2 linked regions of the Diceros bicornis minor genome follow. The protein of the gene in region 1 interacts with the protein of each later gene in a pairwise test. Links are inferred from orthologs where the notes say so. Each region holds a gene or a part of one and is shown in the gene's direction. Other genes may lie near its edges.

The links. The genes of interacting proteins can lie anywhere in the genome.
Region 2: the proteins of RBFOX2 (region 1) and RBM42 interact in a two-hybrid assay, tested with the Homo sapiens proteins (2 studies listed by BioGRID and IntAct). The link is inferred for Diceros bicornis minor from reciprocal best matches to the Homo sapiens genes RBFOX2 and RBM42.

The regions. Positions count from the first base shown.
Region 1 is NC_080764.1:13,676,274-13,683,999, forward strand, and holds the start of RBFOX2 (RNA binding protein fox-1 homolog 2), read left to right. Parts: upstream 1-4,685; 5' UTR 4,686-5,135; coding exon 5,136-5,321; intron 5,322-7,726. UniProt on the Homo sapiens protein: RNA-binding protein that regulates alternative splicing events by binding to 5'-UGCAUGU-3' elements. Prevents binding of U2AF2 to the 3'-splice site.
Region 2 is NC_080773.1:8,933,663-8,941,366, reverse strand, and holds the start of RBM42 (RNA-binding protein 42), read left to right. Parts: upstream 1-4,677; 5' UTR 4,678-4,770; coding exon 4,771-4,898; intron 4,899-5,137; coding exon 5,138-5,273; intron 5,274-6,564; coding exon 6,565-6,649; intron 6,650-6,751; coding exon 6,752-6,826; intron 6,827-7,704. UniProt on the Homo sapiens protein: Binds (via the RRM domain) to the 3'-untranslated region (UTR) of CDKN1A mRNA.

The DNA.
Region 1 (7,726 bases):
AAACCCAGGTTCAATAACGCCATGAGCAGAGGGAGGTAGGAAAGAGAGGTCAAAGTCAATAGCGGGGTTTGTGTCAGAGCAGCTGGCTTTATAGTCCTAATGAGGCTTAAACATCACAGGGTCCTCTTTGGCTGAACTCAGTTTCTCATGGGGCTCTGTATCTGCTCCTGGATCAGCCAGCCACATGGCAGGAGTGGCTTCCACTTCCTCTGGCCGATGAATTATCAAGGGTATTCTCCGCCTTTCTTTTTTGGGAAAAGAAAGCTTTGGAGTAGAAAATGCTCTCTTCTATTTATATCTGCTCTTCTCTCGCTGATTAGAGAGATGATACATTTGGGGGAAGGACTCAGGCCCTGAATGCACTCTTCTTTATTTAGAAGAGGGCATGGTTAAGATAGCATTTCTAAGATCATCTGCTCTGCTCTGGGTCTTTATCTGTTCTTCCAGGGGCCATGAGAGATATAGGGTTGACTTTTTGAATATTTTCAGGATTGTTGGAATAGCCACATATTTTGTGTCAAGCTCTGTTCGCAATGTTAGGGAAACAGAAATTGAGTAAGGGATTAAGAAAGTGCTCATTTTCTCAAAGAGCTTATAGATACAAAGATTTGTACCACCAGCTTGTCTGATGGCTGCTGGTAACCAGAGTACTGGGTTAACAATGACTGGCTTTTGACTAGATCTGTCATAAGATCTATTATCTCCTAAGGTCCCATAATAGCCCTGTGGCTAGGTGCTCCAGCACCCACTCACCTCTCAGTCTCAGTTTGGGGACCACAGCTGGTCCTGACTCCAAACCCCGTGCTAGGGGTCTTTATCGGGGTTTCTCCTGGTGAACAGTGCTGAACTCCTCCTAAGCCCTCGCAGGCACACAAGAACTTGCTCACTTTTTATCAGAAACCATATCCTGGGAAACTCCCCCTCATTTTTAAAGACCCAGATCAAACATAACATTCTGGGTGAAGCTTGTCCTGTCTCCCTCCGGCACGGGGAGCTCCATCTTCCTATAGCTCCTATAGCTTGTGGCACATAGAATAGTCATATTAATAAACATAATAGGAGTAATAATAGTAGTAAAAAGGTCTAAGTTACCATTTATTGAGTGTGTCTATGAGCCAGGTGTCATGCTAAGTGCTTTGCATGCATTATTCAACGCTCAGAAGAACCCCAGGGGCCATACTATGATAATCCTCGGTTTACAGATTGTATCAGGCAGGAGTTGAGTTTGGCTGCATGTAGAAACCTGTCCACAGAGGCTTCACCAAATGGGAACTTATTTTGCTCAAATAACAATACATTAGAGGTAGACGGGCTAGGGCTGGTATGGTGGCTCCACAATACCATTCCTAGAACGTAGCTTTTGTTACTGTGGACACAAGACGTCTGCTGTTTTCCCAATCTGTGTTCCAGGAGGGAGGAAGGCTAGAGACAAAGGGCAAAGGATGAAGGGCAGAGTGCCTTTTCTTCTTGTGGTTTTGTCTTACTAGTTGGGAAGGAATGCTGTCCCCTACCTACATCTCACTGGCCAGAATGGGGTTACATAGCCACCCTTAGCTGCCAGGGAGCCCGAGAATTCTTTTTTTTTTCCCTCTTATTAAAGCTGGGCAGATTTGTGCCCTGAACAAAATTGGGGTTCTGCTAGTAAGGAATTAGAGGAGAATGGATACTACATTGGGAACTACCAGTGCTTGTCACACAAATGAAGAAACTGGGCCTTAGAATGCTAATGATCTTGTCCAAGGTCAGACAGATGGCCAAGTTAGACTCAAAACCATGTCTACTTGACACCAGATTCCATGCTCCTGTCCACTAAGAGAGATGACCTCCTGATCATGATGCATTACAATTGTCTTTTTATTTGATCATCCCTTCCCTAGACTGTGAGCTTCTCGGTGCTAGGAATCAATTTTATTCACCTTGGTACCCCAGACTGGTGCCCATGGTTTGTCAAATGGAGAAATGAATAAATGTTAGGACTTCAGTAGTTTCTGTAGCTAAAAATTCTTTCTAGGAAAATATTCAATTGTCCTCCTCCTCTGTGATGTTTTATAACCACCTGTTCCCAAACAGGTAGCTGCAGAAGTATGTGAAAGCAATGACCCTGATCTTTGTGCCATGGGCACATTTGGCCTCTTCTACTATTCATAGGCTTCTATGCTCTCTCTCCCTAAGTGCTTAAAGCTTGTTTACAGGGCAGGGTCCAGTTTTTCTTTGTTCTGCCTGGTCATTCAAACATTGCTATATCCCATCGCTCTATTTCTTAGGGACATGTGTGCTACTTGAGTAACAATAATTTGAGTCACAAGCAGTCCCGACCCCAAATATCATCTCTTGCTGGGTCATGGAGCAGCCCAAAAAGGACCAGTTGGATTCCAGTATTTTGGCAAGGCAGGTAGGGAGGAGAGGAGAATTCTTAAGACACTAGTTTGGAATGTAAAATTTTTAGAAAACCAACCACTGATGTCCTTAGGTTAAAAAAAAAAGTCATTGTTGTTCTGTAGGCCACCTGGAAAATCCTGATTTTTCTTCAAAGCCATGATGCTTGGTTGGACAGAATCAAGCCCATCTGCTGTGGGGTACTGCCCACAGGGACTCCTGACTTCAGCTGGGGCTGCCTAATTCAGCTGAAGAACAAGCTTGCAGGCACTTGGACTTCCAACTTACTGGCCCAAACAGCAGATTAAGAGATGCCTGGGCTTCTCTTTCCACTGCATTGCCCCCTAACCAGTAGCTTACTATCATTAAACACATTAGATGATAAATATTTACCACTTATTAAGCAGTTACTATATGTTAGGTGCTGTGCTAAGCGCTTTATTTTGTCCCATTTAATCCTTAGAACAATACTGTGACTATTATTGTCATCTTACCGACAAGGAATATAAGGCTTAGTGAAAATAAATGATTTGCCCCACATAGTGGTTGCAGCAAAGGGTGACTTGGGGAGCTTTGTCTGCCCATCCTAATCTCTAGCAGCCCCACAGAAGCCACCTTATGTAATTCAAAAACCCAATAGTAGTGATAATGATATTCTTAGATATCCTCAAACAATCCTTTCAGGAAAGTACTATTATTATCCTAATTTTCAGATGAAGAAACTGAGGCATAGAGAGGCTAAGTAGCTTTCACAAGGCACCATGACTTGTAAGCGGCAGAGCTAAAACTTGGCTATTTTTATTGATCTATAACACAGCCTAGGTAAAAACAGCGTGCTCACTATGAAAACTCAGCTTCAAGACAAATCCTCTTGTCTTCCTTTCCAACTAGCCTGCAGGCCCTAAACCCCTTCTATATAGAAATTCCTAACTCATCACTGGTCCAACATCACATAGCAGGTGGTAAAGCTTGGATTCAAACCTGGCTTGGTCTGACTCCAAAGCAGGGATCTTTACCACTGTACTGTTCCAGCACCAGTCAGGTTAAATCCAAGTTCAAAAGACAAATTGTTGACCCATCTGGAAATGGCCCTAGAAATCATCTAACCCAGGGTTTCTCAACCTCAGCACTATTGACATTTGGGGCTGGATAACTGTTGTGGGGACTGCCCTGTTCATCACAGGCTAGTGAACAACATTTCTGGCCTCTACCCACTAGATGCTGGCAGCAACCTCCAGCCTGGAGACATTTTTGGGGGGAGAGGGAGAGGGAAGGGGGCAAAATCATCCCTGGTAGTGAACCACTGATCTGAACCATCTCCTCATTTTTCAAATGATGCAGCAGGGGTTCAAAGAGATGAAGTAACTCGTGTAAGCTAGTTAGTAGAACCCAAGTGGCTCATGCAACATCATATCTCCCTATAAAGTACAGGGAACAATGCGGAACCCAGAGAAAACAGATGCCCTCTTGGTCCTTACAGTCTGGTAGGAGACAGAAGCTATTACACGAACATCTCTACTTGCATGAAGTTGATAAGCTGTACAGGCAGCAAGATGTAGAGAAAAAGAATATGATCTGGTGTCCTGAGATCTGGATCTGCCACTTTTCAGCTGCCGGACTTAACTAAGCTTCAGGTACATCATTAGTGAAACGGAGACCCTGGTATCTATACCATCAGCTTCAAAACGGGTCTGTGAACGCACTGTGTAAACCGTAAAGCTCCTACAAACATCAGGTATTATTAAGATGATCAGGAATGTGATGATAATAATAATTATGATTAGAGTAAAAGCTTTCAGAAATGAGGAGAGCCATGTAGTGGTGGCTTCATTCCTGGACCTTCCAACCGGAGATCCCCATTCTTCTGCGGGAGAAGGAACAGGCAGAGTTCCCTCCCACAGAGAGCCTCTTCCTTCGCCTGAAACCAACGTGGCCCTTGAACTCCGTACAACTCTGCCACCCTGCCCTCAGGCCTCTCAAGCTCCGCCCGCCGCAGGCTGCGGCCCCGCCCTTAAAGGAAACAGACCCCGCCCCCTCCGCGCTGGCTGGAACTCCGGCGGCGCCAGGCCTCCAAGACAATCCGTCGCCCGTGCCGGAGATTCCCGAACTCTCCCGATCTCTTCCCGGCCTCTTTCGGGCGCCCGGAGCGGAGGCGGCGGAGATGGCCGAGGGGCGCTGGCCCCGCCCCCTCACTCCCCCTCCCGCCCCGCCACCGCCTCCGGCGCGGGCTGGAGTCCCAGATCCCGGTCCCTCCCTCGTCCTTTCTCTCTCCCCGCCTTCCCGGTGCTGCCAGAGTGGCGGGTCGGAGGATCCCGGCCAGTCAGCTCGGTCCTGCCTCGGGCCCCTCCTCCCCCCACATCAACACCCCTCCCCACGCCTCGGGAGCGGGACCGCCCCCTTCCTCCCTCGGCCGGCGTGGGGTGAGGGCCGGTGTGAGGGAGCCAGCGCGGGCGGGCGGGCTCCGTGAGGGCGAGAGGCGGGGCGCGCGGCGGGCGGGCCGGGGGCCGCGTGTGCGCGTGGGGCGCGAGCGAGAGCCCGTCGCGACCCGCCGGCGGCCCGGAGCCGAGGAGCCGGCGAGCGACGAGCGGCGACCGCCGAGCGCGGAGGGGCGCCGGGCCCGCGCGCGCGCGCACGCACGCACGCAGGCGGGGGCGGGGGCAGGCGCGCGGCCGCCTGTCGCGACAGTCGGGGCCGAGGCCCAGGGGGAGGTGGCCTGTCGCGGGTCGCCCGGCTCCCGGAGGCGAGGGGGGCGCGGGCGGATGGCGGAAGGCGCCCAGCCGCAGCAGCCGCCTCAGCTCGGGCCCGGCGCCGCTGCCCGGGGGATGAAGCGGGAGTCGGAGCTGGAGCTGCCGGCGCCCGGAGCGGGAGGAGACGGAGCCGAGCCCGGCCTGAGCAAGCGGCCGCGCACCGAGGAGGCGGCGGCCGACGGCGGCGGCGGGATGCAGGTGACCGCGGGGGTGCGGCCGGGGCCGTGAGGGTGGCGCGGGGCTCCGGGGCTGGACGGGGGCGGGCTTCCCGGGGTCCCGGCTCGGAGGTGGGAGGGGCGGGTCGGGGCCTGGTTGGGAGGTGGGGCGCCCTCCGGCGTGGAGGCAGAGGGTGCAGGGACCCCGGTGTGCCCGCCAGGGTCCTGATTCCAGAGAGGACGAGGGGCACGACGCGTGACTGGGTTTTGGGGGGAAATCGAACATGGTTGAGATGGATTCCATTTGTCCCAACCCTTCCTGGGTTACTTGGCGGGGAGTGGAAGCCGGGAGATCCTGGGTCTGTTGCCCAGAGAGGCGCGGGACTGAGTGGAGGACGGGGGGACAGTGGTGGGAAACCTCCCAAGAAGGAGGAGTACCTTTGGCACTCTCGACACCCGCTGGCATGGGGAAGGAGCGGCATATAAAGGAGAGGCGTGGAAAGCGAGAAAACTCCTCGAGAGCCCAAAGGGGATGTGGCTTAGATTGTGGGTTAAATTAGTTACAGAGGAGGGTGGGAAGTACAAGGAGTTGGGTAGTGCTGTGGGGACACCGTGGTGCTCGGTCTCATTAACTTTATGGAGCCTGCTAATGAGTCTGAAGAGAGACACAGAACATGCCCCTCCTGTACTGTGCCAGTTGTATCTTAGCCCAGCTCTTTAATGTCCTGGGGTGTAAAAGAAAATTTATAGGGCTGTTAGAGGACTGGATTCTGAGTCGTGAACCCAAGCATGATCTGGTTGATTGGGCAGGGAATGGGAAACGGAGTTATGATGTCAGTTGACTTTGTAGTTTGAGGAAGAGCGTGAAACCTTTGTAGATTTTAGGATTTGATCTCTGTTCAGAAAATACTTGCTATGAAGTGGTGGGGCTCACCTACCAGCAATTGTGTAGACATCTGCCTAATTCTTCAAATCAGAGAATGTTAGAGACAGAAGAGACCAGAGACCTCATCTTTTCCAGGGGTTCTTAGCCTGGATAGACTTGGAAGATTCTTGTGCAAAAATAGTTTACGTGCACTTTTTGGTGGGGGAAAGGCAAGAGTTGTCATCATCTTTTTGGTTTGTTTTTGGAGGGGATTCAAGTCCCCAAATGTTTTAACCACCTCCTTTTTTAGAGGGGGAATGCAAAGTCCAGAGAAGACTAGTGACTTGCCAAAGACTACCCAGTGAGCTGGTAGTAAAACTAGAACTAGAAGCCGAGTCTTCTAATTCCTACTCCTGTGCTCTCTCCATTACACCGCTCTTGGAAATCTCTGCAGCGCTAAAAGACTTCCTGTGCTCTGCTCCCTGCTCTGGAAGGCTCTGCCTGACTTCCTGTGTTAGAGAGGGAGCTCTATGGAAGCCTGGCATGTTTGCTGTGTTCTTCTTGGTCTCCTGGCAGAGGCCACTCTGTTACTTGTGTTGATTTGGGTAAAGTGACCCTCTTGGTGTTTATTTTTGAATTCTTTTGTTTTGTTGGCCTGCTTTTGTTCTCCATTAGAACTCTGTCAGACAGAGGGATTGTGAGAAGTAAAACTCAGGGCCATGGAGAAAAGAGAGAGAATATGGGGAGACTTCAGGTGAGGTGGGTTAACATTGGATGATAAGGAGAGAAGAGTGGATGTGGGTGCTAGTGAGCATGTTCCGCTTGGCGTGTGCATATATATCTATGTGTTCATGTATTGTTTCTGTCAATCATGGTTAATAGTGAGACTCTGCCTCTCTTACCCCCCTCTTTCCTCCTGGGGCCCATTATTTGCTGGTTGCCTTCAAATTGGCTAAGGATAGTACTATTTGGAAATGGAGCAGTGTATGGGGACTTTGGAGTATGCAGAGGAAGGAGTGGATTAGGTCCTTTGGGTACAAATGGGCAACTTAGAACTATCCCACAGAGAATCCTTTTTTCACTCTGTGTTTTTGGGGATCTTTATTTATTTTTCACTTTGTGCATTCTCATTGTCGCAGTTCTAACGCTCCATGTCACACAGGTATTCAAATCATCATTGATTTAGCCCCCTGCCTTCAACTAGCTGTATGTTTCTGGGAAAATCCCTTCTTTTTGGGCTTCTGCTTCCTTAGTTGTAAAATAAAGTTTGTACAGGATGATTTCTAAGTTACCTTCTAAAAAATACGTCAAGTTCCCTGACCTTAAGGTACTTGGTGCTTACAATCTAGGTGGCCAGACAAAAGGGTGAAAAGTTAAAAAAGGTGTGTGTGTGTGTATATATATATGTGATTTTTTTTGTAAGTTCCAGAGGAAGAGGAGAGGAGATACCACAGGGTAGATGCATGTCACAAGGCATTGCATAATTTAGAGCCAAAGTATGCAGAGGACTTGTGCCACGGAGTCCAGAAGAAGGAGGTGGAGGGGCCGGCCCAGAGGCGTAGTGTTTTAAGTTTGTGCGCTCC
Region 2 (7,704 bases), on another chromosome or scaffold:
AAAAGAAAAATTCCAGTCCATAGAAAAATGGGCAAAATATATGAATGGGAAATTCTCAGAAAATGTGCTCATACTCAATCATAATAAGAGAAAAGCAAATTAAAACCACACTTGGATACATTTCCCATCTATCAGACTGGGAAAAAGGACACCCAGAATTTTGGCAGCTCACTGTTGGCAAGGCTATGGGAAGAGAGCACTCTGTTACATCAGTGGGCATGCAATATGGAACAACACCCCGGGACCATCTCCAGCCAAGCTGCATGTGCATTTCCTCTTTGCCCAAACAATCCCACTTTTAGGACTCTATCCCAAAGACATGCTGGGTGAAATACAAGTTGTGGGACCTTGTACAAAAAACAACTAGACCGTGTTCTTCAGAAGGTGAATGCCGGGAGGGTGGGGACTGTTTTAGATTACAAGAGACAACCAAATGCCATGCAGGGTCTTGATTGAATCGTGGATTTTTTAAAAAGTGTTTGAAAGTACATTATTGGGACAACTGGGGAAATTTGTATATTGGGGGATATTACTGTATCTTTGTTAAATTTCTTTGGTGGGAGAATGGCATTGTGGTTAGGTGGGAAAATGTTCTTGGAGGGTGTGTGTTGAAATATTAAGGGTGATATCTGCAGCTTACTTTCAGAGAGTTCAGGATGAGAGAGAATAAGGTAGAAGGGGCACGGATGGAAGCCAGACATCTCTGAATGTACATGGTTTCATACTTTTGACTGTGGAAACATCTATTTTTCATAATTTAAAAAAATGAGAAAAAGAAAGAAATCCCTAAAAATTCAAAACAAGCTGAAACAAATGAACCTAACTCTATATGAAGTTGGTGGCACAATTGTTTCAGATAAGAATTTTTTCAGATGATATTAACACACAATCCTTTCATTCGATGCCTCTAGTGGCACATATATCCTAAGAGAAAAAGAACTGCAATAAAATCTTAAACTGCATGCAGCAGTCTTGTTTGTAATAATATTGGTATTTTATTTTGATAAAAATATATAGTTTAAAATTGAGAGCTTACATTATATATTTTGAAATTATATATTAGACTAAAGCAAATAAGTGGTTTAGCTCGTGTTACTGGAGACCAATATTTTTAATGTAAATGAAAAGAGATACAGATACAAAATCAAAGAAGGAAACACCCTATAATCTTTCATTTGAATGAGAAATATCAGAATGAACTTATGGGTTTTTGTCTTTCTAAAAAATATATATTCCCCGGGGCTGGCCTGGTGGCATAGTGGTTAGGTTTGCGTGCTCAGATCCCAGGCATGGACTTAACGCGCTGCTCATCAAGCTATGCTGTGGTGGCATCCCATATATAAAGTAGAGGAAAATGGGCACAGATATTACCTCAGAGACAATCTTCCTCAAGCAAAAAGAGGAGGATTGACAACAGATGCTAGCTCAGGGCCAATCTTCCTCACCAAAAAAAATATATATATATATTTGCCTAGCTAAGTCCACAGAAAAGGTCTAGATAGAATGACAACCCAGTAACAATGAGTAACCCCAATGCCCAGATTGTGGTCTCTAAATACTACTTCTGACTAGAAGGAATCAGGGATCCTTGGGACAATAGCTGATTCCAGATCTAGGGCAGGACATGTGCAAAATGAGCATGGGGCATCTTGTGCCAGAAAGCTAGGAAGTCCCCCAAGACTACTGGGATTGAGTCAAAGGACTCAGGAGTCAATGTGAAGAGACTGCCACTGGCTAAATATGGGACATTTTGAGCAGCAATAAGAATGACAGCAATGATTTGAAGCACATAAATATGTTTGAAAATGTACATTTATATTGATACTTATACAAACATACCTCATTGGTCACCTTTGAAGGGTGCTAGGAACCAATTCACTATTTTGAAAAGTTTTTTTTCACAAAATAGGGAAAGAATCAAGCATGTTCTCTGTCTTGTACGTAAACAAGTAACCAAATTCCTGATGAGGAGGAAGTTATTTACAAAAGAATCACTAATAATTGCAGAGAGAATGATAAAATTTGAAAACTACTATTTTCCATACATTAATGAAGTAATGGATACAGATCATGATCAAGGGCTGCTAAAACTATTCATGGAAAGGTTGATTGGCCTTCTTCCAATGGATGGAACAGGATGACAAGGCTGATCAATTTTGGCATTGCCAAAGGAGGACAACTAGACATCAGGTGCTCCTGATGGGATATAATAGGATACAATGGGATATGTTACAACAGCACTACCTACAAAGTCTCCTTTCACCAAATTAAACGTAAATTGAATCCAGCTTCTAGCTGTCACTACAATATATAAGAAAGGGGGAGGGGCCAATGAGGAACAAGTGAAACAATGTAACTAAATCCAAAATGTGAGACATCCTATAGGACAATTGATCCAGTTTCTTCAACAAATAGAAGGCAAAAAAGGGGGCAGGGAGGAGAAAGAAAGGAAGGAAAGAGGGAGGGAGGGAGGGAGAAAGGAAGAAAAAGATAGGGGAAGGGAAATTTATAGATTAAAAAAGACTTAAGATTTTAAAGCTGGAACAATTTGAGGAACAAAATAACTAAAGTAGTATTGGATTATAACCCTAAGTATAAGATATCCATGAATCTATACTCATATAAATGACTTAATAATTAAATAAAGGGGTGAGAATAGGTAAATCCCCTGTGCAGAAGAATTCCAAATAATTTATGTAGATACTCCACTCTCAAGAAGGTGGAGCTTAACTCCTCACCCCTTAAGTGTGGGCTGTGCATAATGACTTCCTTCCAAAGAGCATGAAAAAGGAGTAAAACAAAAGTAACTTTATAGTGGAGAAACCTGACAAATGCTACCTTAGCCAGGAGATCAAAGTTAACATCAACAGTGGTAAGTCATGTTGATAGTATGTACCCTTGATATGATATGATGAGAATTGCACTTTACCTCTATAGTCTTCTCCCCAAAATATCCATAACCCCCAGTCTAATGATGAGAAAAACATCAGACAGATCCCGAATGAGGAACAGTCTACAAAATACCTGACCAGTACTCCTCAAAACTGTCAAATTCATGAAAAACAAGGAAAGTGTGAGAAATTGTCACAAGCAAGAGTAGCCTAAGGAAACATGACAACTAAATGTAATGTGGTATCCTGGATGGAGTGCTCAGACAGAAAAGAGAGAATAGGTAAACACTAAGGAAATCTGAATAATGTATGGTCTCTAGCTAATAATAATGTTGGGAAAAAAAAGGCTTCCTATTCTCTTATCACATCTCTAGCACAGAAGCAAACAAAAGCCAGTATTTAACAAGCATTCATTCATGCTGATTCAGACTGGGACCTCAAGAAACCAAGTCACCCAATAAAATTAAGCTTTAACAGGAAAAATAAAAACCGACCAACCAACCAAATGCAATGTGTGGACCTTATTTGGATCCTGATTTTACAATACCAGTACTATTGTATAAAGACATTTTTTTTTAATAATTTTATTTATTTTCCCCCAAAGCCCCAGTAGATAGCTGTAGTCATAGTTGCACATCCTTCTAGTTGCTGTATGTGGGACACAGCCTCAGCATGGCTGGAGAAGCAGTGCGTCGGTGCGTGCCCGGGATCTGAACCCCGGCCACCAGTAGCGGAGCGCGCAGACTTAACCACTAAGCCACGGGGGCCAGCCCTATAAAGACATTTTGAAGCAGGGAAAATTGAACACAGCCTGAGTGTTAGATGATACTAAGAAATTAATTTTCTTGGATGTAAAAATGCTGTTTTTGCTTTTAAATAGTCCTTATCTGTTAGAGAGACATCATGAAGCATTTATGGGTGAATTGATAGATGTCCGGAATTTGCTTTACTATACTCCAGCAAAAAAATAAAAATAAGTATAGATGAAACAAGAAGGGTAGAACATTAGTAATTGTTGAGAGGTACATGGAGGTTCGTTATATTATTCTCTCCACTATTGTATTTTTTTAAATACTCATAATAAAACATTTTGAGGACTACAAAACAAAGGAGGGGTCAGCTATGTCCCAAGAAAGAGCGCAGAGACCAAACCGACACACGTGACCTTCTGAGCTGACGCATTTGACTACTGTCTCTCGGCCTTTGCATGAACTATTCCTCCTACCCCGAGTCTCTCCCCCTATTTTCATCCAGCAAGTTTTGAGTTGTCACCTCCTCCAGGAAGCCTGGATAATGCGCCGCCTCTGAGCTTCCCACATCATGTCCCCGATCTTTCTGGGAGTTACTGTCTGGTAGCTGTCTGTCTGCCCCAGAGTGGAGCGCACGGCCCCCAACTGTCTCCCGCCTCGCCCAGCTCTGAGCTGATGAGCACTTCTGTGTGTTTTAAAACTCCCCGAACGGGCCTCGCGGTAGCACGGCAGTGGCCTCCGAACCTTCCTGAGCTCTCAAACGTCCGGGTTCCCCTTTAGAGACCGGGCCAATAGCCTGTACGGCACTCTTATTAGCCTAGGTTCCTCCTTGAAGGCGTGGCCGCCTTGCTTAGACGCACTCTCATAGCCCCAGGTTCTTCCATTGGCTCGTTTTTCCAGCACTCTGATTGGCCTATATTCTTCTCTGCGGGGGGCTCTCTGGATTCTCATTGGCCCGCTCTCCAAAGGCCCTCCCCCCGTTGGCGTATGATGTAGTGCTCCGGCGCCCTCGCTTTCGCCGCTACGTCATCCGCGGGCGTCCACCTTGACGAAGGCAGAGAGTAGACAGCGGAACCGGCGGAGGAGGCTGAGCCGAGGCGGTAGTAGCGGCGACAGCGACGGCAGCAGCGATGGCCGGGGCGGGGCCAGCCCCGGGGCTCCCGGGTGCGGGAGGACCTGTGGTCCCGGGCCCTGGCGCCGGCATCCCGGGCAAGAGCGGCGAGGAACGCTTGAAGGAAATGGAGGCGGAGATGGCCCTGTAAGGCCCGCGACAAGGCGCGATAAAAGCCGTCCCGGAGCCAGAGCCGCCGAGCCCTGGAGCTTCCAGGCCGCGATAGGCCCGACATCTGGCTCTGTCATGGGGAAATGGGTCCTTCCGGACTGTGGGGGCGGGAGTGAGAAGGAGAGGTTGGCGGGGCTGCAGGCGCATCGCGATGTACCCAGCGTTCCAGAATTGGTGCAGGGTCCTGAGCTGTGGTGTCTGTCCTGCTCCCCCAGGTTTGAGCAGGAAGTTCTGGGGGCTCCGGTAACCGGAATCCCGACTGCGGTGCCCACGGTCCCCACGGTAGAAGCGATGCAGGTCCCAGCAGCTCCTGTGATCCGCCCGATTATCGCGACCAACACATACCAGCAGGTACGGCCGAGCTAAGGCATGTAAGTCAGAGAGCACAAGGCTTCGAACACGGGAAGTGTTTGTACACGGAGAGCTGTTGACATGTTGGCTTGTTGATTAATTAGCGTGACAAATATTTTATGTGCCACGCACCGAAAATACAGTAATGACTAAGACAGACCATATTTCTGCCCTGTTGGTGCTTGTATTCTGGAGCATGTTGTCCCGTAGAACTTTCTGCAATGATGGAAATGTTCTGTGTCTATTTAAAAGTTACATTTAAGTTAAATAGTTACTCAGTCTCATTAGTCACGTTCAAGTGCTCAATAGCTAGCTGTATATCATTAGTGGAGAGAAACTACTTAAGAAAACAAGTAAATGAAACTTGTTCATTCTGTCGACAAATAATTATTGCCTTCTATGCACCAGGCACTCTTCTAGGTATTAGGCGTATAGCAAAGAACAAAACAGAAGAAAACAATCACTACCTTTCTGGAGTTTACGTTTTACTAGGGAGACACAGGTCAAAGTAAAGCAAGAAGAGCAGAGGTTTATCAGCGCCATCAGGGAAGCCTTTCTGAGGAGGTGATATTTAAGCAAAGATATAAAGGACATGATGGAACCATGGAGATATCTGGGGGAAGCGCATTCCCAGGAGAGAGAACTGCCAGTGCAAGGCCCATGAGGCAGGTGCATCCCTCACATGTGGAAGGAACAGCAGGGAGAACAGCATGGCTGGAGTGGAGTGAGCAAGGGGGAGAGTGGGAGGAGGTGAGGACAGAGAGGTGATAGAGACCAGATCTCGTAGGGCCTTGTGGACCACCATAAGGACCTTGGTTTTTACTCTGAGATGGGAAACTGTTGAAGGATTCTGAGTAGAGGGGTGATATGGTCCAACTCAGATGTTAATAGAGTCGCTCTGGCTGTGTTTGGAGAGCAGACTCTGGGGGCAAGAGCAGGATCAAGGAGACTGAGGAAGAGGCTACCATAATCTAGGCAAAAGATCTAGAGTGGTGGCATGGGAGGTGGAGAGGACAGGCTGGACATAATTTCAGGTACTGCTAAGTGCTTTGGAGAGATAAAGCAGGATGATGAGAGAAGTTTCTACTGGGAGGGACTAAGGACAGCTTTAGCTAGGGTGATCCCAAAAGCGTCCCTGAAAAGTGGCATTTTAGCTAAGACCTAAAGGTTGACAGCTAGCCAGCTCCACACAGAGTGCAAAGAATGAAAACCTGTGCCCTCCGAGGGTGAGTCAGCCAGGGCAGCGTGGGGACACTGAGTCAGGCCCCTCACCCAGCCTCCTCCCCAACAGGTCCAACAGACTCTGGAGGCCCGGGCAGCAGCTGCAGCCACTGTGGTTCCTCCCATGGTGGGTGGTCCTCCTTTTGTGGGCCCAGGTAAGTAAGGAGTGGTGGGGTGAGGGAGCCAGGGGATGAGGCGGGTGGTGAAAAGGGATGCCCGGACTCCTCCCACCGTCCTCATCTCTCCCCTCCCAACAGTTGGCTTTGGCCCTGGTGATCGGAGTCACCTGGACAGTCCAGAGGCTCGAGAAGCCATGTTCCTGCGGCGAGCAGGTAGGTCTGGGGCGAGGGAACTTCACATCTAACCAAGCACTCTTGTTTCGACTACTTCAGCCTCTTGCCTAGATCATTGCTGTAACTCACCCTCTTTATTTCATCCCCACCCTGATATTGTCATCTTCCTAAAGCACAAACCTGATCATGTACTTCATCAGTTTGGCTTTAGTGAGGCTTAACCTGGTCATTGCAAACCAACCTCCTTCCTGTCCCTCCTAGTCCCTACCCTTTGCCATGTTTCTCCATAGCACTTAATACCTTATAACAAGCTATACAGTTTACGTATTTGTTGTGGTTATCATCCTTTGTTTCCTTTATTTTTTTTTTTTTTGTGAGGAAGATCAGCCCTGAGCTAACATCCATACTAATCCTCTTTTTGCTGAGGAAGACCGTCTCTGAGCTAACATCTATTGCCAATCCTCCTCCTTTTTTTTTCCCGCCAAAGACCCAGCAGATAGTTGCCAAAGCCCCAGCAGATAGTTGCACGTCATAGTTGCACATCCTTCTAGTTGCTGTATGTGGGACGCAGCCTCAGCATGGCCAGAGAAGCGCTGCGCCGGTGCGCGCCCGGGGTCCGAACCCGGGCCACCAGTAGGGGAGGGCGCACACTTAACCGCTAAGCCACAGGGCTGGCCCCTTTGCTTCCTTTAAAACATAAGTTCCATGAGGGGCTGAAGTCTTGGTGCCTGCCCCATAGTAAGCATTACTTGCTCTCTGTTGATGGGATGAACAAACCATTGAGCAAGCGCCCAGCTCCTCACCTGGCAGTCAGGACCGTGCCTCTCCTGGCCCCTTGCAGAGAGAGAGATCCCCACGCACCCTAAACGTTGCTGGGGTGTGCCAGCAGTGCTCTTGTTGAGGGCCCTTCTCTCCCC